Linked DNA regions of Neurospora crassa OR74A. The protein of the gene in region 6 purifies or fractionates together with the protein of the main gene of each other region. This does not show direct contact. Links are inferred from orthologs where the notes say so. Each region holds a gene or a part of one and is shown on either strand. Other genes may lie near its edges.

Region 1 (4,101 bases), on a different chromosome or scaffold from region 6:
CGGGAGACGAGGAGGAGGCGCTGAGTCCGGATTCTTTAGATCACGGCAGCAGCTATGGGCACCCCGTGGTACGGGCCAATGGCACCGGTTTGGAAAGCAATGTGGGACCGGACCAGCCCGGTGGGATCATCACGGGGAGGAAACCACCGTCGCTTGACGTTGATCAATGAGAACAGGTTGACACAGCTTACAGAGACGGGTAAATGACGATCAGATATGAAAGGCAAATTTCGACGCATTGTCGGATCAGAAGAGTCAAGGTGCATTTTCCGGAAGTAGGGACTTGGCCCGGATGGGTGGGCTTGATGACAAAAGCGATTATTTCTCTAAACGAGGAAATATGAGGAACAACAAATGGTTTTATGTCACCAACATGGGTTTTGGTACAGTCTCTCTTATGTTCAGGAGGCGTTTTGAGATAGGGAAATGAGGAACCTATCCATATGTACACATATCTACCTGGTAACTCTTCAAGGGAAGTTTGAGCACACTGGTCTTCGGCATTAATCAACGTGTTTATGCTGTGGTAACAGTTCATGTATTTGAAAGGTTCGTGTTGCCGCATGACACCGCTTGTGAATCTTTCCTCAGTAGACGCTTGGATATATGGTCTGGTCGTTTTGAATTTTCACGCTCCAAGAGACTGCCTTTCAAGCGTTAAGTTCAACTTCCCGTCGATTTGACGATTGGTTTTTAGGAGGCTTGAAACAGAGAAGGGTGCAGTTCAGCACAGACGAAGAGAAGCAAAGCCGGCAAGGTGAGAAGAAATCGTCTGGTAAGAACCGAAAAGACGTATAGCTAGACCAAAGAACATAAACACTCTATCAATGGCTCTCTCTCCCTTATTCGCATCGATCCCGACGTCCGCTGTGTAGAGGCTTATGGGGTGCGGGAATAGAAACAAAAAAACAAAGAGAAGAGAGGCACCTGTACTCATACTTTGTTACTCGATACTGTATGGTATATGCATTCCACCACCTCAAAAGTCAAAAGATCCCGTACCTCGCCTGTTCCATCCACTCATCGAACTCCACTTCAGCCTGCTCTTCATAGTCCTCCCCTAGCCTGAGACTCCGTCGCAGCCTTGCAGCAGCAGACATGAGAGGTGTCAACCAATGGTTCGGCTCGTTTGGCTCGTTTGGTAGCTCAGCTTCATCGTCAGCTTCGTCGGCGGCTCCAATCGTGGCTTCTGAATTCCAATACTCTTCATCCGCTTCTCCACCAGTAGCAGCAGGCCCTTTCTAATGAACGCCTTCACCGCCGGCAGCAACGCCTCCCGTTGCTGTACCTGCCGCCGCCGCCGCATGTTGCTGTTGGGCACCTTCAGCCTCATCCATAGCAGCCAGCTCCTCCTCTTCCTCCTCTTCCTCCTCCTCCTCCTCGTCATCATCGTCAAGCTCAGCCTCGTCCTCGGCGTCCTTGAACCCGCTCTCGACCTCGAGCTTCCTCAGCCGCCTACGCATCTCGTCCCGCTGGCTGTTCTGCCAGCGCACCAGAGCGGCAGCGGCGTGCACCTTGAAGCCGTAGCAGCGCGGAATGTAGCGCTCGACGCTCTTGGCGGGCACCAGGGTCGGGTATACCTGAAAGAAGATGTTGTGGAACGAGGTGCCGAAGTAGGCGCCGTCAATGGCGGCGTGGCGCGACGACTTGGGGTTGTAAATATCCTCGCAACGCGCGCAGTACAGCTTCACCGGCTTGGAGTTGGGCACGTCCGAGAGACCCATGGGCAGCAGAGGGTGCGAGGAACACATGACGCGCGGGCACTTGCCAAAGTCGGCTTTTTTGTACTTTTCGAACTGTTGGTGGGAAGTGCGTTAGTCACGGATGAAGACGAGGAGACGCTGGATGAAGATGGAATGCTGAGAGTTGATTACTGACCATTTTTTGAAGACCCCGCGTTGTGACAATGTATCGAGCATGGACAAGACCGTACAGGTGCCTAGCAGACTTCTCTATTGTTTCCCGCATGTCGTCATCGCAGTCGAGGTCGAAGACATCGGTGATGAGATCGAGAGCATATTGGTAGTACTGGACCTCAGTGTTGAGACCAGTTAGATTGAACCTATCAGTGATGTAGTCCTCGTCAATTTCGCAAAAGTACTCATTGCCTCGCGAGGAAATAAACTGCAGGCGGACGCGCAAATGTCAGCATGATTGGGGAACCTTTACTGTAGTAAACAATAACAACAATTGCAAGAGAAGCATACCCAGTCGCGCCAATAGCTGGCATAGTCGCTCTCAGACTCGCTCACAAAGTCATCCATGGCCGGCGACACCACGTCTATACTCGGCGCATAAAAGGAAGGGAGGAAGGTGGTGGTGGGAGGAAAGTGGGCGCGAACGACCGTCGGCTGGCGCTTCGCATCAACGAGGCCAAAATCCCGGGTGCCGGGGTCAAGTACGGCGTTTGAACCTTTTGTTGGGCCGAACTAATGCGCGCCGGGCCGTAGATGGGGAGTGGGAGGTCCGAGTCGGATGAGATTGAGCTGGCACAAGGCACAATGACGACAAGACGTTGGAGAGGATTGTGATGCTTTTTTGCGACGGTTTGATGGGAGTTCAGGTGGAAGAGGGTTCAAAGCCGTCCCTGGTGCAGGGCAACGGCAGGGCAGGCGAGGGGGTCTGGACTCTAGACCGGGAGCCAAACAGGCTGACAGTCCATGACAAGGGACTTTTTTTTTTGGTGGGGGGTTCATCGCCGTTGCAGTGGTCCCCGCAGGGCAGGTTGCAGTGCCCCCCCGCCCCTGGCTCATCGCAGTCTGTTTATCAGCAGTCCCGACCTACCCAGGGCACTACACAGAGGTAGGTTATCAGGTCTGCAAAATCGACCATCTGACTACCTAAGTACCTACCTAGGTAGGTAGGTAGGTAGCGGGCGGGTACCTTTCGTCGGCCTTCAGTCAGCCCAACGGCCCAGCGTATGACTTTAATTGTACGTTCACAGGTACTGGGGATGGAAGCATGTACTCTGTCATTAAGGTAGGTATTCTATTGGGCGTCATGACGTTCAGTGCTACAGTTTGTGCCTTATTTTTGAGCAGGTATATTGTTGGAGACGGAAAACCCAAAAAAAATATATATAAATAAATAAAAATGGGGGATAAGAACGCCAGTCGCCTGTGATTATAGCTGTTCTAGATTATCTTGAAACATCCCGGCTTCTATAACATCTGTGTTGCCCTACAGCATGTGTCTAGAGCTCAAGACCCCCGCTTCATCATAAAGTGACGTTCTGGTAGGATCGTGAGCGCCACGGCTATGGATATCCAACAATCCTACAACCAACTATCCGCTTTCCAATTTCCATCCACTTCATTAACCTTCGTACCGATTAGCACTGACAACGCTGCCGGCGTCGCTGATTGTGCGCCTGTCAGCATCCCAGTCACTACCTATGATCCCCTTGGTATTGGAAATCAATGAGCTGGTAGTGCTGGAAGCACCGTTAGCACCACCACCCTGAGGAACTCCAAGCATTGTGCCCAGCCCGCTGCCTACGCTGCCATGGCCATCCTCCAGCTCACTTTCCTGCTTCACTCGCATCTTGGCCAGCTCCATTGCTTCACGCAGCGTGTCCCCCGTTTCATCGAGCGCTGCTAAAAACCGCGCCAGCTCTTTGCATAGCTCCCAGTCGCCCTCGCGCATTGCTCTGCTTAAGAGACGCACACTCTGCTCGCTTGCTGTTGCGAGTTCGTCAAAGGTATGGAGGATGAGTAAGTAGCCGCCAGCAGTCTTGAGGCTCCCACGCTGCAAGCTCTCCTCAAACAGCTCCTGAGGTGGAGGGAGATAGGCGAACAGAGTACGCCAGGAACGCACTTCCGTCTTGCGGGTACACTGCACCACAATGTCCAAGTACTGCTTGAACGATGAGAGAAGTGACAGCACGCGTGGGAGGATGGCATGTTCTGGAGCAGGCGGAGGATGGGCATCCACCTCTTCGTCCAGGACATGGTGCAGAAGTATTTCCAGTCCATGCGCAAAGTACTCAAGGTGCTCATATTGCTGAGCTAACCGCAACGCCTCAATCGGTCTGTTATTACTAAGGTAGAACCGCAGTATATCGGGTAGAAAGAGGTGCGTCTGGGATTGTTAGCAGGAAAT
Region 2 (3,969 bases), on a different chromosome or scaffold from region 6:
CATAATAGTAAAAGCAGCGCCTCTCTTAGCAACAATCTTGTGTCGCTGGTTGGGCAGATTGGCAATGCCAATCGGTGAGGCGCTCTCGGTAGTGGCAGGGGCCATCTTCAGCTGGGCGAAACACGAAACTGGGAGATAATTATGGGTAGAGGATTAAGTCACGATCCCGTTGCTGTAACGGCGAGAAGAAGCACCGGCAATTGGAGAAAAAGAGCGTCAGGCGGGATGCGTGGTGTACGGGTATGGTGGTGGTCGTGAATGGGAATCGAAATTAGGTTGGTGTTGACAGTGGACGGGTGGGAGCGAGAGGCAGACGGGGGATGGAACTGCAGTGGTGAGTGGACGGGGGACCCGTCGTGGAGCTCTGTGCTTTCGTTCAGGGGAATTTACTTGTTCAAATTTCCACACCACATTCATCTGGCCCAACCCAGCACCACACACCCACGCAGGAGAGAGCACCAGCGACGGGGACGGGAGCGCCAGGCCAAACCTAGCCCACACTGACTGAACCCCAAGCACTCCAGGCACTGCAGGGCCGCGGCAGCAGACGGACGGAGCAAGCAGCGAGCAAGCAGCATTCGATTCCATCCTCCAGATGAGGTGCCTGGGCGGGGCCACGGCAGCCGTCTGTGATGATGCCGAGAAGGCGCACGGTACACGATCCATATAATCCAATGGCACCTTTCGAGCCCGGCATTCTGCAGTAGTGTAGAGCTGCCACCACACAAGGCCGCTCTTGACTGGCTGCGCGGCAGGGAAATGAGTGGACCCTCCCCTTTTCCACTTGCTTCCCACACTTCCCCAATTCCAGGTCCCCAGAGACGGACCTACGCTGGCAGCTCTCCACTGAAACGCGCTTGCCAGGTACCCTCGCCGAGCATTTAATCGATGCGTGCCTTCCCTGCTAGCGCCATTGGCGGTGATCAGCCATTCATTGCCATGGAAACTTGGTCGACCCTTTGACCCTTTGATTGCCAGCTCTGCCAGCCTTGCACTGTGCTTGGTGACCGTGCTTGGTGGTGCCGTGCAGTGGTTGGTCTCGCTGCGGTCGGTGAGGCTGCCAGATACGCCAAGTCTTTTGCCAGCTGGTGCCAAAGCGAGGAGCTAACCCGACTCCATTCCCCGCCAAAAAGTTTATGAAATTTTTGGCTGGCAGAATCGCCATTGAACGTACGGGCGGTCTAGGCGCAACAGCAGCAGCCTGTAACTGAACTTCTGTTCCACTTACCTATACAGACTCGAAAGAGTCCTCCAGTTCCTGTACATAATCGAATCCCCAGATACTATCCCAGTTCTGCTCCATCTCCAACGTTGACAGTCGAGGCATGGAATAGTGTTTGAAAATGAAGACCGACTTCAAGTTTTCTAATCTACTGGGCACAGTCTACTGCCAGGGCAACCTCTTGTTCAGCCCGGACGGTACCCATCTCTTCTCGCCCGTTGGCAACAGGGTGACAGTCTTTAACCTTGTCGAGTACGTCTCAAGATTCCCTACACACCTGCCTGGCGCATGGCTTGTAAGCTGGCTAACACGGTCGCAGTAACAAATCATATACCCTTCCCTTCTCCCACCGAAAGAACATTGCGCGTATCGGTCTCACGCCCCAGGGCAACCTCCTACTCTCCATAGACGAAGATGGCCAAGCTATTCTCACCAACGTGCCCCGGCGCGTAGTACTATATCACTTCTCCTTCAAGGCTCCAGTAACGGCTCTCTCCTTTTCGCCATCGGGGCGCCACTTCATTGTTGGACTCGGCAGGAAAATCGAGGTTTGGCACGTTCCCTCAACACCCGACGCCAACGCCGACGGCGAGCTCGAGTTTGCGCCCTTCGTCAAGCACCATACCCACGTCCAACACTTCGACGATGTCCGTCACATCGAGTGGTCCCACGACTCGCGATTCTTCCTCACATCTTCCAAGGATCTCACAGCAAGGATATGGAGTGTTGATCAAGAGGAGGGGTTCACACCTACAGTTCTGTCCGGTCACAGGCAGGGTGTCGTGGGCGCGTGGTTTTCCAAGGATCAAGAGACGATTTACACAGTCAGCAAGGACGGCGCCGTATTCGACTGGCAATACGTTGCGAAGCCTGGACAGGACGAGGATATGGTGGACGACGATGACCTGGCCTGGAGGATAGTCAACAAGCACTATTTCATGCAGAACAGCGCCACCGTACGATGCGCCGCTTTCCATCCCGAATCGAACTTGCTGGTTGCCGGTTTCTCGAACGGTATCTTTGGCCTCTACGAAATGCCCGACTTCAACATGATCCACACTCTCAGCATCTCCCAGAACGAAATTGACTTTGTGACGATCAACAAGAGCGGCGAGTGGCTGGCGTTTGGCGCATCCAAGCTTGGTCAGCTTTTGGTGTGGGAGTGGCAGTCCGAGTCTTACATTCTCAAGCAGCAGGGCCATTTCGACTCGATGAACTCCCTCGTTTACTCTCCGGACGGTCAGCGGATTGTCACAGTCGCCGATGATGGAAAGATTAAGGTGTGGGATACGGAATCGGGATTCTGCATTGTTACCTTCACAGAGCACACGAGCGGCATCACTGCTTGCGAGTTCTCCAAGAAGGGCAATGTCCTGTTTACCTCGAGTTTGGACGGTTCCATCAGGGCTTGGGACTTGATCAGATACAGAAACTTCAGGACCTTTACAGCACCAGAAAGGCTATCTTTCTCTTGCATGGCAGTTGATCCTAGTGGCGAAATCGTGGCGGCTGGCTCCGTTGACTCTTTCGACATTCATATTTGGTCTGTCCAGACTGGCCAGCTCCTAGATCGTCTTTCGGGACACGAGGGCCCTGTGTCATCCTTGGCCTTTGCGCCTAACGGCGGTCTTCTTGTGAGTGGTAGTTGGGACCGCACTGCCCGTATCTGGTCCATCTTCAACCGCACACAAACAAGCGAGCCTCTCCAGCTCAACTCGGATGTTCTCGACATTGCCTTTAGGCCAGATTCTCTCCAGATTGCCATCTCCACTCTCGACGGCAACCTGTCGTTCTGGTCGGTCTCGGAAGCTGAGCAGCAAGCTGGTCTTGATGGACGCAGGGATGTCTCCGGCGGTCGGAAGATCGGTGATCGCAGGACTGCGGCCAATGTTGCCGGTACCAAGGCTTTCAACACCATCAGATACAGCACAGACGGATCGTGCCTTTTGGCCGGCGGAAACAGCAAGTATATTTGCTTGTACTCCGTCACCACCATGGTTCTCCTGAAGAAGTACACCGTGAGCGTCAATCTTTCAATTCAAGGCACTCAAGAGTTCCTCAACAGCAAGCTTCTCACCGAGGCTGGACCCCAGGGTCTCCTGGACGAGCAAGGCGAGGCCTCCGATTTCGAGGACAGGATAGACAGGTCACTCCCAGGCTCCAAGCGCGGCGACCCCTCCGCACGGAGGAAGAATCCCGAAGTGAGAGTAAACGGCGTTGCCTTCTCCCCGAACGGAAGTGCTTTCTGCGCCGCCTCCACAGAAGGTCTTTTGATCTACAGCCTGGACACCACCATCCAGTTCGATCCCTTTGACCTCAACATGGAGATCACCCCCACCTCTACCCTGGCCGTGCTCGAGAAGGAGAAGGACTACCTCAAGGCTCTCGTCATGGCTTTCCGCTTGAACGAGGCCGGTCTGATCCAGCGTGTCTTCCAGGCCATCCCTTACACCGACATCCCTCTGGTGGTCGAGCAGTTTCCCAACGTGTACGTTGCCAGGCTGCTGCGGTACGTTGCCGCGCAGACCGAGCAGAGCCCTCACGTTGAGTTCTGTCTTCTTTGGATCAAGGCTCTGGTCGACAAGCACGGCGCGTGGTTGTCTGCCAACCGCGGCAAGGTCGATGTTGAGCTTCGTGTTGTCGCAAGGGCTGTTTCCAAGATGAGGGATGAGATCAGGAAGTTGGCCGATGAAAACGTCTACATGGTTGACTACCTCCTCGGTCAGGCGAGCGCTGCTAAGGAGACT
Region 3 (4,065 bases), on a different chromosome or scaffold from region 6:
CAAGGCGGTCAACTTGCCACCGAACTGGACGAAGACAGCCGTAGCAGTGATGTTGCGAATATAACCAGAAACCTCATCTCCGACGCGAGCACCATCAAGGGTAGTAAGGAACTTGCCTTCCTTGCTAGCCTTGACAAGGCTGGGCTTCTGGGAGAGAATGATGGAACGGCGAGCCTCGTTCTTTTCCAAGATCACCAACTCGGCAAGAGTCTGGTTGACGTGAATTTTCTTGAGGGCAGACTGAGTCTTGCTGACCGACTTGTCCGTCAAGTGAGCGACGGGGAGGATGGCCTTGAGAGAGCTATCGGCAAGCTCAACAAAAACATCGTCGTCAGTTTTCTGCGTGACCTTAGCCGACACCACATCACCGATCTGAAGCTTCTTGAGGGCCAACTGCTTCTCAAGACCAAAGGCAGATGGGTCCTTGCAAGAAACAATAAGCTTGGCGGCATCGGGGTCGAAGCTGATGACGTAGATGCTGACAGTCTGGCCAACGCGGAAGTGCTCCTTGGGATCCTGAATGTAGGCCTCGCTCATCTCAGAAACTGGCAAGAAACCACGGAGCCTGCCGTAGAACTGCACAATCGCACCGTGCTGCAAGACGTTGATGATGGTACCGAGCGCCTGTTGGCCAACAGCAATTTGCTCATACGATTGGATGGCAGGAAGATCGGAATTGACGAGCGTCTTCTTGAGAGTAAGGCGGATCTGGCGAGAGGCAGCGTCAGTCGAGAGCACACGCGCCTTCACCTTCAGGCCTTCCCTGAACTTCTTCTCGGGGTTCTGAAGGTGAACGTCAGCGAAGTGCATCTCGGGGACCAAGCCAGAGATACCGTCAGCAATCTTGACAATAAGGCCACCAACACCGGCGGCGTTGACCACCATCTTTTCAACCACACCAGAAACAACTGCACCGACAGGAATGTCCTCGATGCGAAGGAATGGCTGCTCAAGAACACTCTTCTCCAAGGAAATGAGATACATGCCATCAAAGGCGTTGTAGCCGACAACCCTACCAGCGTGAACAGATCCCACCTTATAGGGTCCGCTGTTCTCGAAGAGGGCATCAACCTTGCCATCCTTGACGCGGGAGATGTGCACAAACCCAGACACGCCCTCGACACCAACATCGACGTAAAGACCGATCTCAGGCTCGACCTGCTTAACGGTGCACTTCTCCACGATCGTCGAGTGAGGGAGAGCCTGCAATGGCACCACTGGTTGGTCGTCCTTGGAAGCAGTCTTTGGCTTCAACGAGGTAACGTGTTTTAGTACAGAGATACCCAGCTTGGGGTGCTTTGCAGTAGGGAAGTTGCAGATGACTCTGGCCTTCAGACGAGAGCCGACCTTGTATGTGTCTTCAAGATCGATGCCATCCGGACCAGCGCCAGAGTGAACCAGATCAGCGGTGACATCCAGCGATCCCATAATCTTGCCAACAATTCCGTGGCTGGAAACCTCGGACACGAGCACGTCGGCGGCAGTACCGGGGAGGAATGTGTCGATGGTGGTAGCAGTCGAAGGGACGTTCTCGACGTTGCCCATGGTTTCACCCAATGTGGACAACTGAACGACCTTGCCCTTGGCGTTCTTGGTGACGATACAGAGGAGGACGGCACCTGGCTGCAGAGCCTCCTGGGGGATGCTCTTGTCGACCTGCTTGCGAGCAAGGAAACCTTGCAACTTCGAATCGGCGATCTCGATGTCCATAACATAACCGTGGTCCTCCACACTGGCAATGGCGGCCATAACTGTGCTGTTCACAACAACGTCTTGCTCCGCCATACCGGTGTTGGCGAGAGAAGGTTGAAGGGAGAGTTCGATATGGCGCTTGGCCTTTCCAGGGGTGTGTGTAGAAGCCTCGTCGACCGTCGATACAACGTAGGCGCGGACATACTGGCCGATCTGGAAGAGGGATTCGAGGTCAACGTCGTTGTCGTTCTCGTCTTCTGACTCTTCGGCATTGTCGTTACCGGCGCTGGCCTCCAAGCGTTTTGTTAGGGGGGCGGAAATCGCAGTGATGGGGACATGGCCGATAATATTGTTGGGTAGAGCAACGGCGATGTCGAGAGAGTTGATGGCGCAGACGGAACCAAGGACCAAGGAGCCCTTTACCAGACGCTGCGGACAGTTAGTACTTGGATGATAGGACTGAACCCATGAGTGTTCCGGCGCATACCTTGAAGTTGAGACTTTCAACCTTGACGGCGTCCGCATCGGGCTTCGCGGGTGTGTCGTCGGACTTTGACCTCTTCTTGGACTTCTTCTGCTTGCCCTCCTTCTCACCAGCCTTCTTGGCGGTGGCCTTGCTGGATTGCTCCTCGAACAGGGCGTCGTTCTTGGCCTGGACTTGGATTTGCTTGTATTCGAGAGGTGTCAGGATGCTGGCGCCGCCTCTGGGGAACATTGGCTCCTCTTCCTTGAGCAGCGTAGATGTAGCCGGGGCGGTAGGAGCAGGAGGAGCAGGCTTGTCGGACTTGGGAGCCGGCTTGTTGCCCTGCTTGCCCGTCTTTGCGCCCGCCTTGCTGCCGGCATCGTTGGACTTTGGTCTCTTTGACGGTCTCGATTCGGAGGCTGATTGTGTTGATTTGTTGACTGGGGCGCCGCCCGGGCCTTCCTTGCGCTTTTGCGCACCCATTGTGAACTGATGGGTATAAAGAAAGGACCTGATGGATGGACGGATGTGTTTGGAGTTGCAATTGGAGAGATACCCGCACTGGATCCCTCGTCCCTTTGCCCGCCTTCACACTTCAGAATGAATCGACAAGCACTGACAAAAACTGACCCAGGCCGCTTCCACTGTCCGCTGCCGAAAATTTTTGGTGGGTCCGTCGCCGTTCACCGTGGCCAGATAACGATAAGGAATGCGGTGAGCATCGGCTACGATTCTGCCATCTCTAGGTACGCGGGCCGCGTGCATGTCGGTTCGTTGCGGGTTCTGAGTCTTGCGGGGTTCCCCTGTAGGGGTACTAGCAGCGCCTGTCTTGTGTCCACGAGTGCCACGGCGTCAGCTGACAGGACGCTGTCACGTTCATGGCCAGGTACGTACCGAACCTTTTGCACGGGCGGAGACGGGCAGCCAACGGGCCAGCCGCATGCGTTGCAGGGAAGTACACGGTAAGTAGAGGTAGGGTACTGAAGGCCGTTAGGTACCTACACCCTAGAGATAGAGGGGATTGCTGAGAACGTGCTATCAATGAGTTACCTATTGGCCATTGCGAGGTACATATAATTCTCCAAGGCGGGATGTACAATTGTCTAGAGGTACCTACCTACACTTAACATGTCGTCTGATGTTAGGATCGTACGGTATTGGAATATCATTCTAGTCTGATGGAAGAATGAATTTGATACTACACTAGACCATCAAGTAGGTACTTGTAATAACATCAGCATTCGTTCACATGGTCCCCCTCTCCAGGTAATAAAGTGTAGGTACTTCGTTACCTATCCGGTTCCCCTGGACTGTGCGCTACCTGGCAAATGACGTACATGCATCCGAGCTGGAGCCTTTGATAATGGATGAAAGCGCTCCCTCCCCGCCGGCGGTACCCGTGTAGTGTAAGTAGAAGTACACATCGGATTTGTAGCCTGAGCGGTGCCTCGTCGGCTTGTCGACTTGTCCCTACGGTATAGGCGCCACGCAATACTCGTCGCATGCCCATTTTCGATCCTTTCAACTTGACGAAATAAACGGCAATGTGGCCAAAGTTTGCCCTATAATCTTAGGGGACTGGAATCTGTTAGGTTGTTGGCCTTGCTCGCCATGGTCTTCACCATGGGTCGTCGAAAAAAGGCGAAACCAAACCCTCCAACCGAGCCGGCGGATGGTAGTGCTGTCACCGAGTCCTCAACGTCCACATCCGATATGCCGCCGAAATCGTCCTCGAGCCTAGCAGCCTCTATATGGCGTTCAAAAGCCGTTCCAATGCCGACCGCTTCGAACCCACCTTCGTCGACGACGACCTCGACACCTGATAATGCTCTATCAACATCCCAGCCCAATGCGACCGCAAATACAACTCCTATTTCGAGCAAGCGAGGGCTGAAAGAGGTAGCCTATTT
Region 4 (3,465 bases), on a different chromosome or scaffold from region 6:
TCAATAGGAAGGAATTTCAAGCCGGTCTGCATCCTCCAGTTCTCCTTGAAAAAGCCCGGTCTCTGAATGGTAACCTTGACATAGTATCGAATCTCGCACTGGCCTGGGAATCCGGTGAAACTGGGTGGGAGCGTCTTTGTGACATGGGAGTACATCAGCTGCTTGGTGCCGTCCATAACACGAATGCCACCGAGACCGAACAAGCCAGAACCCGACGCGATTCCACCGGCACCAGAAAGGCCTCCTAGTTTGGCCATGGCGACAGGATCACCACAAGCATTGTTGAAGGGAAACTTGAACTGGAAGGGGAATCTGTGTTGACCAGCGGCTAGGACATAGGGCTGTGGCAAGGCGTTGGTCTTCTCGTCGGGAAAGGCCTGGGTGACTTTGTATAGGATCTTGTGGTTCTCGTAGATAACATCGCCGGTTGGAGTGCGCTCCCTCTGAGCAATGCCGGTCCCTGAGCCATCGGCGGGTACTCCCAAGGCCGACTTGGCTTCACCCTCGAGTTTGACGATGATGCCTCCGATCTGTTCGGGACGACTGAGAGTGAGGACGACCTGGCCGCGGATAATATCCAGGTTTGTGTAGAACTCGGGAGGGTTTTCGAGGGCGATCCGTATCGACATGGTTGCGATTGATTATCGTCAACTTCAACAGAGAAATGAGGCTATCACCACATGAACCAAAACAACAAGGAATAACCAGTGGGTCACACGCCCAGGTATGAGCCAAGGAGAAGATGATGGAAAAGAATCTGTTATTTTTTTTTTACAATCCGATTTCCTCGAACCTTGGGAGGGGGTTGGTATTATAGGTAGGTAGATGAAAATTCAAAGCCACTGCCTGTCTGCTTCGATGTGATCAGCTTCACACGGCAGTTAGGTGATGACGGGGAAGACCCTCACTGAAAGACCGGAGGATTTGCCGTTTAAGTGCTGGGTAGCAATTTGAACCCGCCGCACATGTTTAGGGCGGCCTCCGCTGTTACGTCAGACGGGGAATCATCGGTCGGAAGTGGCCGAGGTGCCTGGATTCCACTGATGTTTCCAGTGGGCTGGGCCGCCGCCGCCGCCCGCATGGTGTCTCAATGGGGAAAGCGGTCAGCCTTTTGCTTATCTTATCAGCCACATGTCTGGCGGGGCATCTTTTTTTCTGCCGCCTGATCCACTCAAAAAAAAGATGTCGGCCGGGGTCCGGCGCAGGCACAAGGAAGCTCTCTTCAGCCTGCGGTACCTCTGTCCGTCTCACAATAGAGGTACATACTACAGCCATTGCGCGACTGCCGTGACTTGAGAACGAACCGCCCAAGTCTCGACCCGGACAGAGATCGACCGAAACGACGAAACCCTCCATCGATCCCCCAACCTTCTCGTCCGACCTCGATTCCGAGTCGTCTTCCTCCACACACCTACCCACGACAGCATTGACTAGACTACACCATGCCCAAGGCAGCGAAGGCGTCCAAGAAGTCGGGGGGCGGCGGCAACCCCTACGATCGCAAGGGGGGCGGCGGCGGCGGCAAGGCTACCAACACCAACATCTTCAAGTTCGACAAGGACTTTGGCCAGCATATCCTCAAGAACCCCGGTATCTCGGATGCCATTGTCGACAAGGCCTTCCTCAAGCCCACCGATGTCGTCGTCGAAGTCGGTCCCGGTACCGGCAACATCACGGTCCGCGCCCTTGAAAAGGCAAAGAAGGTCATCGCCATCGAGCTCGATCCTCGTATGGGTGCCGAAGTTACCAAGCGTGTCCAGGGCACTCCGCTAGCCAAGAAGCTCGAGGTCATTCTCGGCGATGTCATCAAGATGCCCGAAATGCCTCCATGCGACGCTCTCATCTCCAACACTCCCTACCAAATTTCCAGTCCGCTCATCTTCAAGATGTTGGCCATGCCCAACCCGCCCCGCGTCGCCGTACTCATGTTTCAAAGAGAATTCGCAAAGAGACTGGTGGCTCGGCCGGGTGATGCTCTCTACTCGAGATTGAGTGTCAATGTCAACTTCTGGGCCACATGCAAGCACATCATGAAGGTCGGCAAGCAGAACTTCAAGCCTCCTCCCAAGGTCGAGTCCGACGTCGTCAGAATTGAGCCCCTTGTTGGTTCGGCGCGCCCCAACATTGCTTTTGAGGAGTTCGACGGTCTCCTTCGCATTGCTTTCAACCGCAAGAACAAGACCCTTTATGCCGGCTTCAACCAGAAGGAGGTCCTCAACATGTGCGAGAGGGTACGTTTCTTCCCATGTGTTCACAAGCTCCAACTCTTACTGACCACTTCGTTTCCAGAACTACAAAGTCTACTGCACCCTCAACAACATCCCCATCGACGAGTCCCTCGCTTCCGCGGCTGACCTTGCTGCCGCCGGCGCCACCAACGATGCCATGGACGTCGAGATGGACGACGACAACGAAGACAATGATAACGAAGAGAACAACGACGATGACGAGGCTATGGAGGAGGATGAGGACGAGGACATGCCCGTCTTCTTCAAGGAGCAAAACGACGCCAACGCTAAGGACGCCAAGACACCTAGCAAGAACCCCAAGTCCAAGGTGGCCTTGATAGTCAAGGCCAAGTTGAACAAGGTGCTTACGAGCACCGGTTTGGCGGACAAGAGAGCTAGGCAGTGCGATCAGAACGATTTCCTCAAGCTGTTGCTTGGTACGTTTTCTTCCCCCTCGGCTTCCCTTTCTGATGGACAACCTCGCTAACACTCCTGACAGCGTTCCACGAGGAGGGTATTCACTTCTCTTAGACGTGTGTTATTATTGCGAACACGCACAGAAATCATCGGCGTACGGGGCGTTTTTTGGGGATTGGGAAAATGTCGTTTTTTAAAAATTCTTTGTTTTGTTCCATTTGTCGTGGAAATACCATTGATCTGGATGCTAGGATTTGCACAATCATAAAAGCCAATGAATCTGGCTGCCACTTTTGCCAGGAATCGAACCATAATCATCTTTCGTTTGGATTGCTTGAGCGTCGGATGTTGTTCTCTTCGTCACGTTGCTCAAACATTGCTGAGAAGCAATTGCTGACAATACCAGACCTACCGCATCGAGATGTCTTTTATAATAAAACCATGGATCGGGGGAGTGGTCAGTGACCTACGGGACCGAGTCCTTGGAGTAACAGGGAAACGGAAAGCACAGGAGAGCAAGCTGTTTTCCTACCCTACCTCTCTCAGTAACAGGCGCCGAGTGCGTCGTTACCAAGCCAGAAAGCGTGGAAGCCTTCTTTCGATAGCTTGTCAGTTGTTCAAAACCATTGAAGAGGGGCAAAGAAAAAGAAGAAGAACAAATGGTGACCGCAACTTATATTTTGGAAAGCACGACACTGGATACTAAAATGTGTCGCCGTTCTTGTCCTTCTCTCCTCCACTCCTCCATTCTTCGACCTCCATCCTCCGCACCCAACACCCATAGCCCAAAAACCACGAAGGTCTCAGCACCCATGCCATC
Region 5 (3,936 bases), on a different chromosome or scaffold from region 6:
GCCTTCAAGCCCTTGCCCCTGACGACACCGGTAAGCACGGTAGACTCACCAAACTTGACCTCCTCCACAAGCATCCAACTCCTCTCGTCTCTCCAGCGAATGCCCTTGGGTGTAGTGCTGCATAGCGAGCGCATGAGGTTGGAGCATTCCTGTCTGTTGTCGAGGCTGAAGACCTTATCCTGTTCGGGGTGGAAGTGGGTGATGTAGGACTTGAGAGACGAAAGAACGGAGAGTCTCTGCTTTTGGGGCTCGATCTTGTTGAGGCCCTGGACGACGGTGAAGAGGGTAGAGAGACCCTGGCTTTCAACGCTGCGCAAGATCAGCTCGCCAAGTTCATCGACCTCTTCCTGCGCGGACAAAACGAGAACGACATAGTCGGCGACTCTGGCAGCGTCCAGGCAGGCGGTAAGGTCGCGCTTGAGGGGGAAGTATTGAAGCTTCTGCTTGAATCTGTCGACGGGAACGCGGAATGCGCCCTCGGGCACCTCGGTCTCGATATCAATGCTGGCGTTCAGGCTCTTGATGGCTTCGGTAGCGTCACCGTCGCTGCACAGGGGGATAACGGCCACGTTTCTGGGGGCACCATCCTTGCCGGCGAAAATGGAGGTCTCCTGGAGATGTTCCTTGTGTTTTTGCAGCTGAAGCTGCTTGTTACGGTTGCGACGGTCGAACTTGGACATGACTTGTTGATGGGGGGTCTTGCGCACACCTCTCTCCTCGGCTACCTTGCCTATAGAATGTTGAAAGTATTAGCGCTGTGTGGACGTTGTCGACCTCTTTATATGCAGCTGTATATTCATGTCTGCTTGGGCTTGGTGCGCCAAAGTTGGGTGAAGTAGAGCATAGTCCAAGGCAACAACCTTGGCATGAGGCACGGCTGTTATATGCAATCCGTACCTTTGGCAGCATTCCGGAGAGCACCCTTGGTAGAATGGCGTGACTTGAAGGGCTTGTTCGACGCCTTGGTCGTCGGCCGATGCGAGTGGCCGCTCACGGCGCCGGGCATATTGCTGGAATCGCCGCCTGCTTTGAACCGAAAAGGGAGCGAGTTTGACGCCAGGATGTTGGACCTGGGGAGGCGATGAAGAGAAGAGGCTGGGGGGTTGGGACTGAAAAGAGATTTCGAGAACCTCTCTGGTCACAATCCGTCTATCGAGTATCGAATAAAGTGATGGGGACAATGTCAATGGCGGGGCACTCGTTGCATTTTTTTGAGTTGTGCGAACATGGGCGGCCGTCTCGCTACTTATCTTATCGGACTCTTGTACGCAGTGGAGCCAATGATCGCTGCGGAACAGCTGCCCCATCCAACTTTTTAGTGGGTCCGGCCCCAAAAAAGTTGTCGAGGAAAGGAAACATTCAAAGTGCCAAAGCGAGGGACAGACACGGGCACACCGAGAAACCGCCAGACCAATTCCATATTCAGCCCCCATCCATATCCCGTCGCCGATCCAACTGTCCTAGTCCACCACACATATTACCCATTCCCATTGTGTCGCGTCGACCCATTGGCACCATGGAGACTACAGACAGGGCCGAAATCTCCCTCTCGAGGGCAGAGCAGCCCAGCGGCGCCGTTGCCATCAACAACGTCCGAAGCGAGTTCCGATCAAAGGCCGAGGCCAACAAGATCCGCAAAGTCAAGGCAGCAGAGAAGTCGTACGGCCGTGGTCGCAAGATCGATGTCAAGAACGTCAAGGACAAAAAGCTCAAGCGCAACCTTACCAACCTCGAAGAAAAGTACCAGACGGCCACGCTAAAGGCCAAGGAGGCCGAAATCCTTCTCGAGAATGCCGGCGGTTTCCTCGAGGCTGAACATGAGCTTGTGAGTAGCCATGGCTTGGGAGTTTATAGCCTCTTGCGCGATACTAACCGCGCTGGTCACGATAGGAACGCACATACAAGGTTCGCCAGGAGGACATCGTCAGCGAAGTCAACATTGAGGTCGCCCAGAAAAAGTTCGACTTGAAGCTCGACCAACTAGGCCCTTACATTTGCGATTTTTCGAGGAATGGCCGGGATCTGATTCTGGCAGGACGAAAGGGCCATGTCGCTACGATGGACTGGAGAGACGGCAAGCTGGGCTGTGAGTTGCAGTTGGGAGAGACCATCAGGGACGTCAAGTGGCTACACAACAACCAATACTTTGCCGTCGCTCAGAAGAAGTACACCTACATCTACGACTCGCAGGGCGTCGAGCTCCACTGCCTAAGGAAACACGTCGAAGTCTCCCACCTCGAATTCCTCCCCTACCACTTCCTGCTGGCCACCCTGGGCACAAACGGCCAGCTCAAGTACCAGGACACATCGACCGGTCAGATCGTCACCGAAATCGCAACGAAGCTGGGCACACCCGTTTCCATGACACAAAACCCCTGGAACGCTATCCTCCATGTTGGTCACCAGAACGGCACAGTAACGCTATGGTCGCCCAACTCGTCAGAACCTCTGGTCAAGCTCCTTGCCCACCGTGGTCCCGTACGATCCATGGCTGTCGACCGCGAAGGCCGCTACATGGTGACAACAGGACAGGACTGCAAGATGGCCGTTTGGGATATCCGCATGTTCAAGGAGGTCAACAACTACTTTACCCGGGCGCCCGCTTCGTCCGTCGCCATCTCAGATACCGGCCTTACCGCTGTCGGCTGGGGCACCAGGACAACGGTCTGGAAGGGTCTCTTCTCGAAGGAGAAGCCGGTACAAGAAAAGGTCCAGTCTCCCTACATGACGTGGGGCGGTGAGGGCAAGCGCGTCGAGCGGGTGCGGTGGTGCCCCTTTGACGATGTTCTCGGTGTCGGCCACAGCGAAGGGTTCTCGTCCCTCATCATCCCCGGCGCCGGCGAGGCCAACTTCGACGCCTTGGAAGTCAACCCGTACGAGACCAAGAAGCAGAGACAGGAGGGCGAAGTCAAGCAGCTGCTCAACAAGCTCGCGCCCGAGATGATTGCGCTCGACCCCAACTTTATCGGCACCCTCGATTTGCGGTCGGCGAAGCAGCGGGAGGCGGACAAGGATCTGGACGCCGGGCCGCCGGATCTGGAGGAGGAGATGCGCAACCGGGCCAGAGGCAAGAACAGCGCGCTCAAGAAGTACCTGCGGAAGCAGAAGAAGAAGAACATTATCGACGAGAAGCGGCTCAAGGCCGAGGAGATGTACAAGCAGATGCAGGAGAAGAACGGGGAGAGGCACAAGGAGAAGGTGGCCGAGCTGGGGCCTACGCTGGCCAGGTTTGCGAGGAAAGAGTAGAGCATGAAAATTGGTGGGAGGGGTGGAAGAACAGAGTACATGATGATACCCAGAATCAGTCACTTAATGAAACCAAAGACGGTCAGTCGACCGGATGCTGTGCTGATACTATATTTGTTTACTTGATATGCTTACGTGTATGTGGAGACTCATCTTGTTGCTTGATAATCTATTCAAAAGTAAAAATCAAGACCTACGCCTTACATGCATCAAAGTCTTTACCTGACTGTATCGCTCTCTAAGCCCAATGATACTTTTATACCGTCCCCGTTACGCCATTTTTCGTGCTTCTCGTCCTTCTCTTTGTATCTACGTTCATGCTACCGTCAACATAACACACTTTCTCCATCCTCTCCCCGCTACAAAGTCTTCCCCCTTTACAGCAACTTCAAGTGACCAGTGATCTCATCAACCAAGCTCTTAGGCGCCGGACCAACGCCCAGCACGGTCCTGGACCCAGAGGCAATCTGCGTACGGCCAGCATCCTGAATCACCTCAGCAGTGACGCCCAAGCTGCGCGCCTTGGCCATCAGCTCCAGCATCTCATCCTCGGTCTTGGTTTGCACGGCGATCTTGGCCTGGCCGTTGCGCTCCCACTGACGGAGCAGGCGGGCCGACAGCGACAGGGGCTCGAGCTGGGCGGCAGAGAAAAGGCGCTTGTAGCAGGCGAGGGTGGCGTGGGAGCATTGA
Region 6 (4,017 bases):
GTTCATGAGCGGATCGATCTTGCGCCAGGCTTCGAGACGGGTGGCGATGGCGGAGCGTTCGGACGATGGCATGTCGCTGTTGGTGTCGACGATGAGCGGCTCGGAGCGCCAGTCCCATCTGCTGACGAAGAGGAGGGCGCGGAGAAGGCCGACGGAAGGGGAGGAGGGTGCGTCCCAGGGGTAGGGGCTCAAGAAAGTCTGGAGGGCGACGAGTTCAATGAAGTCGGGGGTGAAGTGGGAGGCGAGTTTGTGTGAGGAGAACCAGTGTTTGAGCAGGCGGACGGTGGGCGAGAAGGCGGGGAAGCGGGTGGCGAAGGTGTTGATGGATTGAGTGTGCAGAGGGAGGTGGTAGTAGAGTCTGCGGAAGTTGGAGAGGAGCACGGAGGCTTGGTGGCGGTGGTGTTGGTCGATGGTCTTGTCGTGCGATTGGCGCGTGAGGAGGGCCTCTTCGAGGTCAGAGTGGATGCGCAGGCGGAAGGCAGGACCGGACTCGTAGACGATGTCGAGGTAGGCGAGGTTCTCGAGTTCCGTGTTGGTGGTGGTAGAGGACTCGAGACCGACGTAAGAGCGGACCTCGCCGGGCTTGGAACGCTCCAGGAGGTCGCCGATCATGCGCAGGAAGGCGATCTTGGTGCGTTGGATGGCCACGATGGATTCGGGCCACTTGCCGGAGGCTTCAAAGGAGATGACGCATTCCAGGGGGCGTGGGCCGGATTTGTTGACGGTCGAGAAGGGCACCTTGACGGAGGCGTGTCGCAGTTCGGGGCAGATGGGGGCTATTTGCCTGACGTGCAGCGGCATGTCGTCCAAGTCGCGGATATCCTTCTCGAAGGAGGAAAAGGCCTTGCGAGCGGCGTTGAAGACGGAGGTGTCGGTCGGCTTGATAGGAATCAACTCGGTGAAGCCATCGCCGTGGAAGGTGAGCTCGTCCTCGAGGTAGCCAACGCGAAGATGGAGCTTGAGGATGTAGCGCATAATTTCCTCGCAGAGGTCAAAGGGGGAGGTGGACGACCAGATCAAGGTCTCCCTGATAGAATCACCCTCGAACCGACGAAGTTCCGATTTCTCACCCCAGAACCGCTGGAACTTGGCGCATTCCTCCTTCTCCTCGTTGCTAGGTCCAGCGGCCGGACCGCGGTCGACAGAGCGGGTCATGTTGGCGGCATTGAAGAGGACACCAATCTCGATTGTGTGGTTCTGCTTGGTGGAGGGTTTCTTGGTGAGATCCCAGGATGAGCTCTTGGGTAGTTGAATGTGAATCGACCGAGCCCTTTCACCTAGTTCTTCGTCCTGAAGAGCCCGCTTGAGAACCCTGTGCACCTTGTCGCTGTATTCCCATAGCCGTCCCCGGCAGTCAATCGGTTCTGTCTTGTCCTGCTTTCCATCGTAGTTGAGGTGGGCAATGAGGTCGTAGTTTTGCCAGGGGAGGTCGGCCTTGAGGATGAAGGTAGGGGTAAACTGGTCGGCAGTGCTGTCGTTGAGAAGGCTCCTTGTCCACTTGGCGTGTTGGTGTAGCTTGGCCGCAGACCAGTTGCTCATCTTGAAGGCAACGTTCAAACCACGAACAGCGTCGAAGAGAACCGGACCAGTGGTTTCGGACTCGACGGTGGCAGTTCCCAAAACACACGGCTTCTCGGACAGGTTAGTAACAGACAAGAACTGGACCATGGCCTTGAACAACTGGGTGGCGCTCAGGGATGTAGACAAGGGCGCATGTCCCTTGGTGCTGTCGCCGCTTTGGAGCAGAAGGGCCAAAAGTACCGCCCATTCAAAGTGACCAAAACCACCGTCCGCCATATCGCTTCCCAGTCCTCGTTGTTGCAACCACACCCGACCCAGGATGCAAGCCTTCTTGAACGCGGCGCATTTCTTTTCGGTTTGTCGCAAGAGCTTCAAGTAGGGAAAGAAGCAGGACTCGGAAACAATCGTCGAGTTGTAGAAGGGCGTAGGCTTGGTCGCGGCCTTGGACTCGTCACCGCCAGCTTTGCGCACGAGGGTAGCGCCCAAGTGAAGCTTTGATTTGGGGAAGAAGTTGTCTGGGGCGCAAGGGATGATGCGCACTCTGTAGTCCAGCTGGCCCTCCTTTTTTTCTCCTTCCACCTTTGGTTTCAACGACAAAATGGGGGACAGGGTGTTCCCATTCAGGTATTCGTATGAAAGCTCTCCATCATCAGCCAGGTCCTTTTGTAGGGCAGCAGCCACAACACCGAGGAAGTAGGCTCTCTTGTAAAAGTATCGCAGGTCGAGGTAGTCCTTCTCTTGCAGAGTCTCGCCGGGGATCACAACCACCATATCCACAGCATGGCTCTTTTGGGCCTTGATCATGGTCTTGGACACATAGCTGCCGACAACGTTGAACTGGGAAGGCTTTGCGAAGGCGACCTTGTAGTTGGACTTGTCGGACGGGCGCGGCTCGGGGAACGGGATCGGGATCTTGTGTTTCTTTTCGAGTTTGGTGGCAGCCTCGGCGATCTGGAGGGCATCGTGGGCTTCGATGGCTTCGATGGAGCCCTTGATCTTGTGGAGGAGGGAGTCGACGCCTTCGAGGGCCGTGGCATAGTCGAGCTTCACTTCGTCGACGAGTTCTTCGGCTTCGAGGATGAATGCGCGGCCACGCGAGAGACCCGAGGAGGCAGCGGCGTCGATGTTGCCAACTGCGCTTTCACCGCCGCGTGAATGGCCAATCTTGCGTCGTTTTGCTGATCCGGGTTCCATTGTATGTGTGGCGGTGGTATAGGTATATGATGGTGATGGTGGAGGAGGATGTCCTGGGAATGGAGACAGGAAATTGATAGTGACAAGACACTGAGAGAGAGAGCACTGAAAGCCAAACAACAGTGGACCGAGCGTCGTCCCTCCAATTGAAGTTCTGCAAATTCGAGTCTCGTTCAAGTTTGCGACGGGAATTCCCAAATTTTTTGAGACTCTGGAGCTCCGATAAGAGATAAGAGGTCAATCCACAAACAGGGGCAGTGGAAGACCCGACAGGGGCAGTCGGGTGGGGCAATGTTGGTTGGTTGCCCCTGTGGGGTTCAACTGACAGACAGTGAGCGCCCGGCCCTTATCTCAGAATCAGACCCTCTTTTTTAGGCATGGGCGGCCTGCGGCCGCTGGGAAAGTGCGCTGCGCGCACATCTGGCCCGTGCGCTGCGCGCCCGGGGTTCTCAAAAAAAATAATAAATTGAAAGTTACTAAAGTTTCTAAATTGTGATCCGTGTACCCATTCTTTTAGTATACTTTCCGGTATTGAATAAGAACGCCTAAAAAAGAGGTTTGAATTCCCAATTAGACTAGAAGCGGATAGGGGAATTTATATTGATAAACTTCTAAGAAAGATAATATAGCGTTAAAATAAAACAATAGATTTAGGTTATACAAAAGATATGAGGAGAAAGAGTTCGTTGAGACGGATTTAATGGTATTATTAATTTTTTTCTACGACTATTGAAAGTATTAATTATTATAGAAAATGTAAAAACTTTACGTAAGTCCGTATATTCAATGCCTAGTTAGCTATATATTACAGTACGGCTTTTTATCCCAATACTATAAAACTTTGTAGGTATAGATATTATACGACTATTAATATAGTAGTATAGTTTTCTTTACTCTATAGTACGTTATTTTTTTTCCTTAATTTTTTCTATCCTCTATAGGTATTAATACTATAGATCCTAATTTCGATCCCTCCGTTGACCCCTAGCGTATATTGCGGGTAATAAAAGATATTATTAGTAATAGTAAAGACCCTCGAAAAGGCTAGGTTAAGGCGGTAGTACGGTTGGCGTACGAATAGAAGGATATAATATTAGTCGCAGTAATGGGCTACGGAAAAAGTATTGTCCTATATATATTTTTAGCTTTATATAATAAAATTACAATATAGATTATACTGTTAATTAAGTTTGGAGAAAGTTAATATAATAATATTATTACTAAAGTGCTAGATTTAAAGCTAGTATAGGTAAATAAAGATGTGACTTTAAAAGTAAGTATTCTGCCCTTTTTTACGAATCT
Region 7 (4,048 bases), about 2.3 Mb from region 6:
TTGAAGGATAGTTCGTTTATCCGACGATAGTACTATTATAATTAATTAGGTTATTAAAGTTATTAGTAAAGTAATTTTCTTATTAAAATAAATTATTATATATTAATAAATTATTAGGCGGATTATTAGCTAGGCCGGGGTTAGTTAAATTATAGTTAGCTATAGTATTGAAATTAGCTTTTAGATTATAGTATATTTAATTACAATTATTAATGAATAATAGTATTGAGAATAAAGAAAGTACTTAGTAGGAGTATAGATAAGAAGTAGGAGTAGAAATACGTTTAAGAATTGAGTAATTGGTAGACGGGGTTACCCTTTATATTGAGGTCTGTAGGTATTCGGATTAGGGTAGTATAATATAATATTTTAATTAATACGAACCAATACAAGTAAATTGGTATAGTATAATTAGGAAGCGCGGGGAGAAGGTATAAGGGAAGGATTGGGAAGGATTTAGAGATATAATAGTAAAGGATTGTTATTATTGTTTGCGATTGCAGGGTTGGTGTTGAGCGATATAGGGTCTTTGCGATTAGAGGTTTAATGAACCGTTTGAAGATTAATTAGTTTACTTAGTTAAAGGTTCTAATTGAAAGGGGTTTAGTTTGGTTAATTAATTTTTAATTGTAGCTACTATTTGATACGGGTAATTGGAGCGCTCTGTAAATAATAGTATGATGATATTTGAAAGCGTTATGAAAAATGATGTAGAAGGAAGAACTAGAAGCTAACGGCTAGCCTAGAGGGTAAGCCTTGGGAAGGCGGTTCTGACGGTACCATTTTTATAAAGCTCGGACCACCCATTAAAGTAATGTAGCCTTGAGGGGGTAAAAGTCCAAAAGTTCAAAGCCTTGTATTTCGACGATTTTTAGTCGTATGAGGGAACTAAGGCTACCATTGGAATCAGAATAAAATGTTCTATATAAGAGTAATTTTTATTTATCTTTACTAGCTTCCTTGAATTTATAATATATAATAATATATAGTTGGGTCCTACAGCGGCTGACGGCCGAAATGCTCAAAATTGGCTCAGACCTGCTACCGCAGAAACGGGTGGGGTGGGGTGGTTTTGGAGGTTGTGGGTCTGACTGAGACTATTTCAAACGATGCTTTCTTGTGAGGACTGATGGTTGCCGGCGCGCGATATCAATGCCAAGCTTGGGGTAGGGGCTGACTGCTCTCAGTTCGTATGGCCCCACACAGTCGGTTTATCCAGGTCGTGTTATCGAGCTTCGTGAACATATAAAAGGGCACGTGCGCCCGCGCACCCGCGCTCTGGGCTCTCGTCTCGTTCTTCCTCCAACTTTTCCGCTTCAATCTTGCTGCCATCAAGGGTCCATTTGGTTTTCCATCGTTGTCTTTGCTCCGTGCTCCCCTGCCACCATGTCGTCCGGATCATCTTCCCCAGAACACCCCCGTGCTGGCAAGCGGCCTCGTAAGTACCCTCCTCGACCTTTTAATCTCTTCTATGTCAGATAATCATTTTGGTTTGGGCCCTGAATGCGAGGTGTTGCGGCGCTCGAGGTATGAAGTTTTTCGGAGGTTTGAGGGGCGGGCTTGAGCGTTCCCAAGCTGTATTGCTGCGTGTGTCCCGGTTCCGTTGTTGCCAAGCATCATAGCGCATGCGCAGCGCAGAGGACCAAAAAAAATCAAACAAAAAAATCGACGGGAACACCCTGACGGGAAAGACGCCGCAAAGACGTACTACTACTGTACACGGAAAGAGGGGCCCGGGAAGCCTGGAACTTCGGTACCCCACTCTCTTTTGACTGATCGCCAATGGTGGCCAATGCCATTTCGTTTTTTTCGCTCGAAAACTCGAAAGGCCGTCTTGTCTCCATTCTTGCGTTCTCTTGGCTACACATCATCCATCGTCCCGTCCCTAGCACCATCACGACGACCATATCAGCAACTATCATCAAACCTACCGTTTCTACCAGCGCCGCCGCCTGCCATTTCTCCTACCTGTCGTTGCCCCCGGACATTTGGTTATTCGATTATTGAGTGAGCTTCAGGTTTTCAACATGTCTAACCACGACGTGACCATGGCAGGCACCCAGTCGCTCCCTCCTCCGGCACTGCCCCAACTCGTTGCTGAGCAGCACATGCCCATCCCACCTACCGACAAGGATACTAAGAGGCTCATCGTGGTACTCTCCAACGCCAGTCTCGAGACCTACAAGGCGTCCCACGGCGGCTCTGGCCGCATGGGCATGCAGCGAGAGGAAAAATACTCGCTCCTCAATAGCGATGAGCACATTGGTGTCATGCGCAAGATGAACAGAGATATCAGTGACGCTCGCCCCGACATTACTCACCAGGTTGGAAACACTCCCAGTCTGCATTCAACATGCGGATACTGCTACTGACACTCGCCATTTGTGTACTCTAGTGCCTCCTCACGCTCCTTGACTCGCCCGTCAACAAGGCCGGCAGGCTGCAGATCTATATCCAGACCGCCAAAGGGGTCCTGATCGAGGTCTCGCCTGCTGTCCGTATACCCCGCACTTTCAAGCGCTTCGCTGGTCTCATGGTCCAGCTTCTCCATCGTCTGTCCATCAAGGGAACCAACTCACAGGAAAAGCTCTTGAAGGTGATTCAGAACCCTATTACGGACCACCTGCCTCCCAACTGCCGCAAGATTACGCTCAGCTTCGACGCCCCCGTTGTGCGCGTTCGCGAGTACATCGACGCTTTGGGCGAGAATGAGAGCATTTGCGTCTTTGTAGGCGCCATGGCCAAGGGCGCCGATAACTTTGCGGATGAGTATGTCGATGAGAAGATTTCCATCAGCAATTATAGCTTGTCAGCCAGCGTAGCGTGCAGCAAGTTCTGTCACGCCGCTGAGGATGCGTGGGACATCATTTAATCGACAATCAAACCGTGGTGAGGAACATGGAGGGATGGGTGAAAGGTCTGTTTGCCTTTCTCACGCGTGAGAGAGGCTGCGGGGGCTTTGGCCAGCTTCGTGATACAACATCGCGATTTTGCGGGCTAGAGCCTCCGGAACTTGGGTCGCCTGTGATTGCGCTGTCGCTGTTTTTGCAACCAAAACATGGGGCGTTCAACAACGGACTCAAGACGCTTTCATCGTCTACGCAAGACCATTCAACCTGGCCTGCCTTCCCTCCTCTCCTTTCGTCATATACTCTTCTTCGCCTCTTCCTAGCTCTTTCATACGTCCAGCCTTAGCTAGTCAATACTATCTTCTTGCGGATACAAAGTTCTCGGGTCAAGTGAAACGCAATTTTTTGTCGAGCGAACGCTTGCCATGCGCCATTCCAACTCAGACATTGCCATGACGGAAAGAAGGGCAAGTAGCGACTTGCCCAGTTAGTATCAGTGGTAGAGAATGGGAAGTGACGCACTGGAACCATGTTTTGTCATCCTTCTTTTTTGCTTACACGATATCAGCACTACTACCTAGTAGCCATCTACCACAGGTCAGTGTTTTCGTGGGTTGCTCGTTTTTCGGACTGCGACGCCTCACTACCCTCCTCTCCTTCCCAATGCCTTTATTCTCCCAAATAAAGCATTTGCAAAACAATGTGTCTCCCTTGCTGCGTAAGCTCGTTTGATTTCATTTTCACGTGCCTGTATCTCTTTCCATGGCCATTTGAAAGCCTGACGAATAGTGCCGTGTACTCGCAATGTACAAGAAGCGTACAGGCCTTGATGTATCTCACATGGCATTCTTCATTCGGCCAATAAACCGCGGAAAGTAACACCCTGGGCATTGGCGTTTGGCCACTGGGTCTTCAGACCGATTGGATCATGGGCTGCAGGACCATATCACCTGTGGATATGAAATGGTTATCCCAGTTGCCGTCAGCCTGGCATTTACTCCCGAGACTGTTCGTATGAACGCGCACTGGAGCACTCCCCGCCTTTGCTGTGCCTTGCAAATTTGTGAATTGGATCTTTTGGGTTTGAATGATCTACAATGCTTGTGCTCCAGGAACACACAACCCAGTGGTAACAGGAAAGATGTGTAAAATGTAGTGTTGCTAATATTTTCTTTGAAATTTTTTTTTTATAAATGAAA

Evidence for each region.
Region 1: the proteins of NCU09437 (region 6) and ckb-2 purify together in Saccharomyces cerevisiae (affinity purification with mass spectrometry; 4 studies listed by BioGRID). This does not show direct contact. The link is inferred for Neurospora crassa OR74A from reciprocal best matches to the Saccharomyces cerevisiae genes UTP22 and CKB2.
Region 2: the proteins of NCU09437 (region 6) and NCU03794 purify together in Saccharomyces cerevisiae (affinity purification with mass spectrometry; 7 studies listed by BioGRID, with this or other methods). This does not show direct contact. The link is inferred for Neurospora crassa OR74A from reciprocal best matches to the Saccharomyces cerevisiae genes UTP22 and PWP2.
Region 3: the proteins of NCU09437 (region 6) and NCU06272 purify together in Saccharomyces cerevisiae (affinity purification with mass spectrometry; 3 studies listed by BioGRID). This does not show direct contact. The link is inferred for Neurospora crassa OR74A from reciprocal best matches to the Saccharomyces cerevisiae genes UTP22 and RRP5.
Region 4: the proteins of NCU09437 (region 6) and NCU08968 purify together in Saccharomyces cerevisiae (affinity purification with mass spectrometry, with the first as the bait; 3 studies listed by BioGRID). This does not show direct contact. The link is inferred for Neurospora crassa OR74A from reciprocal best matches to the Saccharomyces cerevisiae genes UTP22 and DIM1.
Region 5: the proteins of NCU09437 (region 6) and NCU01502 purify together in Saccharomyces cerevisiae (affinity purification with mass spectrometry; 6 studies listed by BioGRID). This does not show direct contact. The link is inferred for Neurospora crassa OR74A from reciprocal best matches to the Saccharomyces cerevisiae genes UTP22 and UTP7.
Region 7: the proteins of NCU09437 (region 6) and NCU02428 purify together in Saccharomyces cerevisiae (affinity purification with mass spectrometry, with the first as the bait; 4 studies listed by BioGRID). This does not show direct contact. The link is inferred for Neurospora crassa OR74A from reciprocal best matches to the Saccharomyces cerevisiae genes UTP22 and EMG1.

Annotation. Positions count from the first base shown.
Region 1 is NC_026501.1:3,448,477-3,452,577, reverse strand, and holds ckb-2 (casein kinase II subunit beta-2), read right to left. Parts: upstream 2,639-4,101; 5' UTR 2,265-2,638; coding exon 2,208-2,264; intron 2,125-2,207; coding exon 1,879-2,124; intron 1,797-1,878; coding exon 1,242-1,796; 3' UTR 501-1,241; downstream 1-500. Other genes in the region: NCU02755 (PAP2 domain-containing protein), read left to right, coding at 1-170; NCU11228 (DUF1339 domain-containing protein), read right to left, coding at 3,316-4,080. UniProt on the Saccharomyces cerevisiae protein: Regulatory subunit of casein kinase II/CK2.
Region 2 is NC_026505.1:2,437,194-2,441,162, reverse strand, and holds the start of NCU03794 (periodic tryptophan protein 2), read left to right. Parts: upstream 1-1,169; 5' UTR 1,170-1,343; coding exon 1,344-1,474; intron 1,475-1,541; coding exon 1,542-3,969. Other genes in the region: NCU03795 (cell division control protein 12), read right to left, coding at 1-105. UniProt on the Saccharomyces cerevisiae protein: Required for bud-site selection and cell separation. Also involved in nucleolar processing of pre-18S ribosomal RNA.
Region 3 is NC_026503.1:2,145,542-2,149,606, reverse strand, and holds the start of NCU06272 (mito ribosomal protein S16), read right to left. Parts: upstream 2,801-4,065; 5' UTR 2,639-2,800; coding exon 2,180-2,638; intron 2,122-2,179; coding exon 1-2,121. Other genes in the region: NCU06271 (hypothetical protein), read left to right, coding at 3,767-4,054.
Region 4 is NC_026505.1:5,864,828-5,868,292, forward strand, and holds NCU08968 (dimethyladenosine transferase), read left to right. Parts: upstream 1-1,194; 5' UTR 1,195-1,442; coding exon 1,443-2,231; intron 2,232-2,289; coding exon 2,290-2,665; intron 2,666-2,727; coding exon 2,728-2,759; 3' UTR 2,760-2,965; downstream 2,966-3,465. Other genes in the region: NCU08967 (arrestin domain-containing protein), read right to left, coding at 1-629; NCU08969 (hypothetical protein), read right to left, coding at 3,319-3,465. UniProt on the Saccharomyces cerevisiae protein: Specifically dimethylates two adjacent adenosines in the loop of a conserved hairpin near the 3'-end of 18S rRNA in the 40S particle.
Region 5 is NC_026502.1:3,252,765-3,256,700, forward strand, and holds NCU01502 (small nucleolar ribonucleoprotein complex subunit), read left to right. Parts: upstream 1-1,366; 5' UTR 1,367-1,516; coding exon 1,517-1,825; intron 1,826-1,890; coding exon 1,891-3,246; 3' UTR 3,247-3,436; downstream 3,437-3,936. Other genes in the region: NCU01503 (pre-rRNA processing protein Tsr1), read right to left, coding at 1-730, 898-1,006; NCU01501 (mitochondrial peptidyl-tRNA hydrolase Pth2), read right to left, coding at 3,624-3,936. UniProt on the Saccharomyces cerevisiae protein: Involved in nucleolar processing of pre-18S ribosomal RNA.
Region 6 is NC_026507.1:182,558-186,574, forward strand, and holds the start of NCU09437 (hypothetical protein), read right to left. Parts: upstream 2,801-4,017; 5' UTR 2,716-2,800; coding exon 1-2,715. UniProt on the Saccharomyces cerevisiae protein: Involved in nucleolar processing of pre-18S ribosomal RNA and ribosome assembly.
Region 7 is NC_026507.1:2,521,126-2,525,173, reverse strand, and holds NCU02428 (nucleolar essential protein 1), read left to right. Parts: upstream 1-1,304; 5' UTR 1,305-1,386; coding exon 1,387-1,438; exon of another isoform or gene 1,439-2,027; coding exon of another isoform or gene 2,028-2,055; coding exon 2,056-2,324; intron 2,325-2,395; coding exon 2,396-2,872; 3' UTR 2,873-3,548; downstream 3,549-4,048. UniProt on the Saccharomyces cerevisiae protein: S-adenosyl-L-methionine-dependent pseudouridine N(1)-methyltransferase that methylates pseudouridine at position 1189 (Psi1189) in 18S rRNA.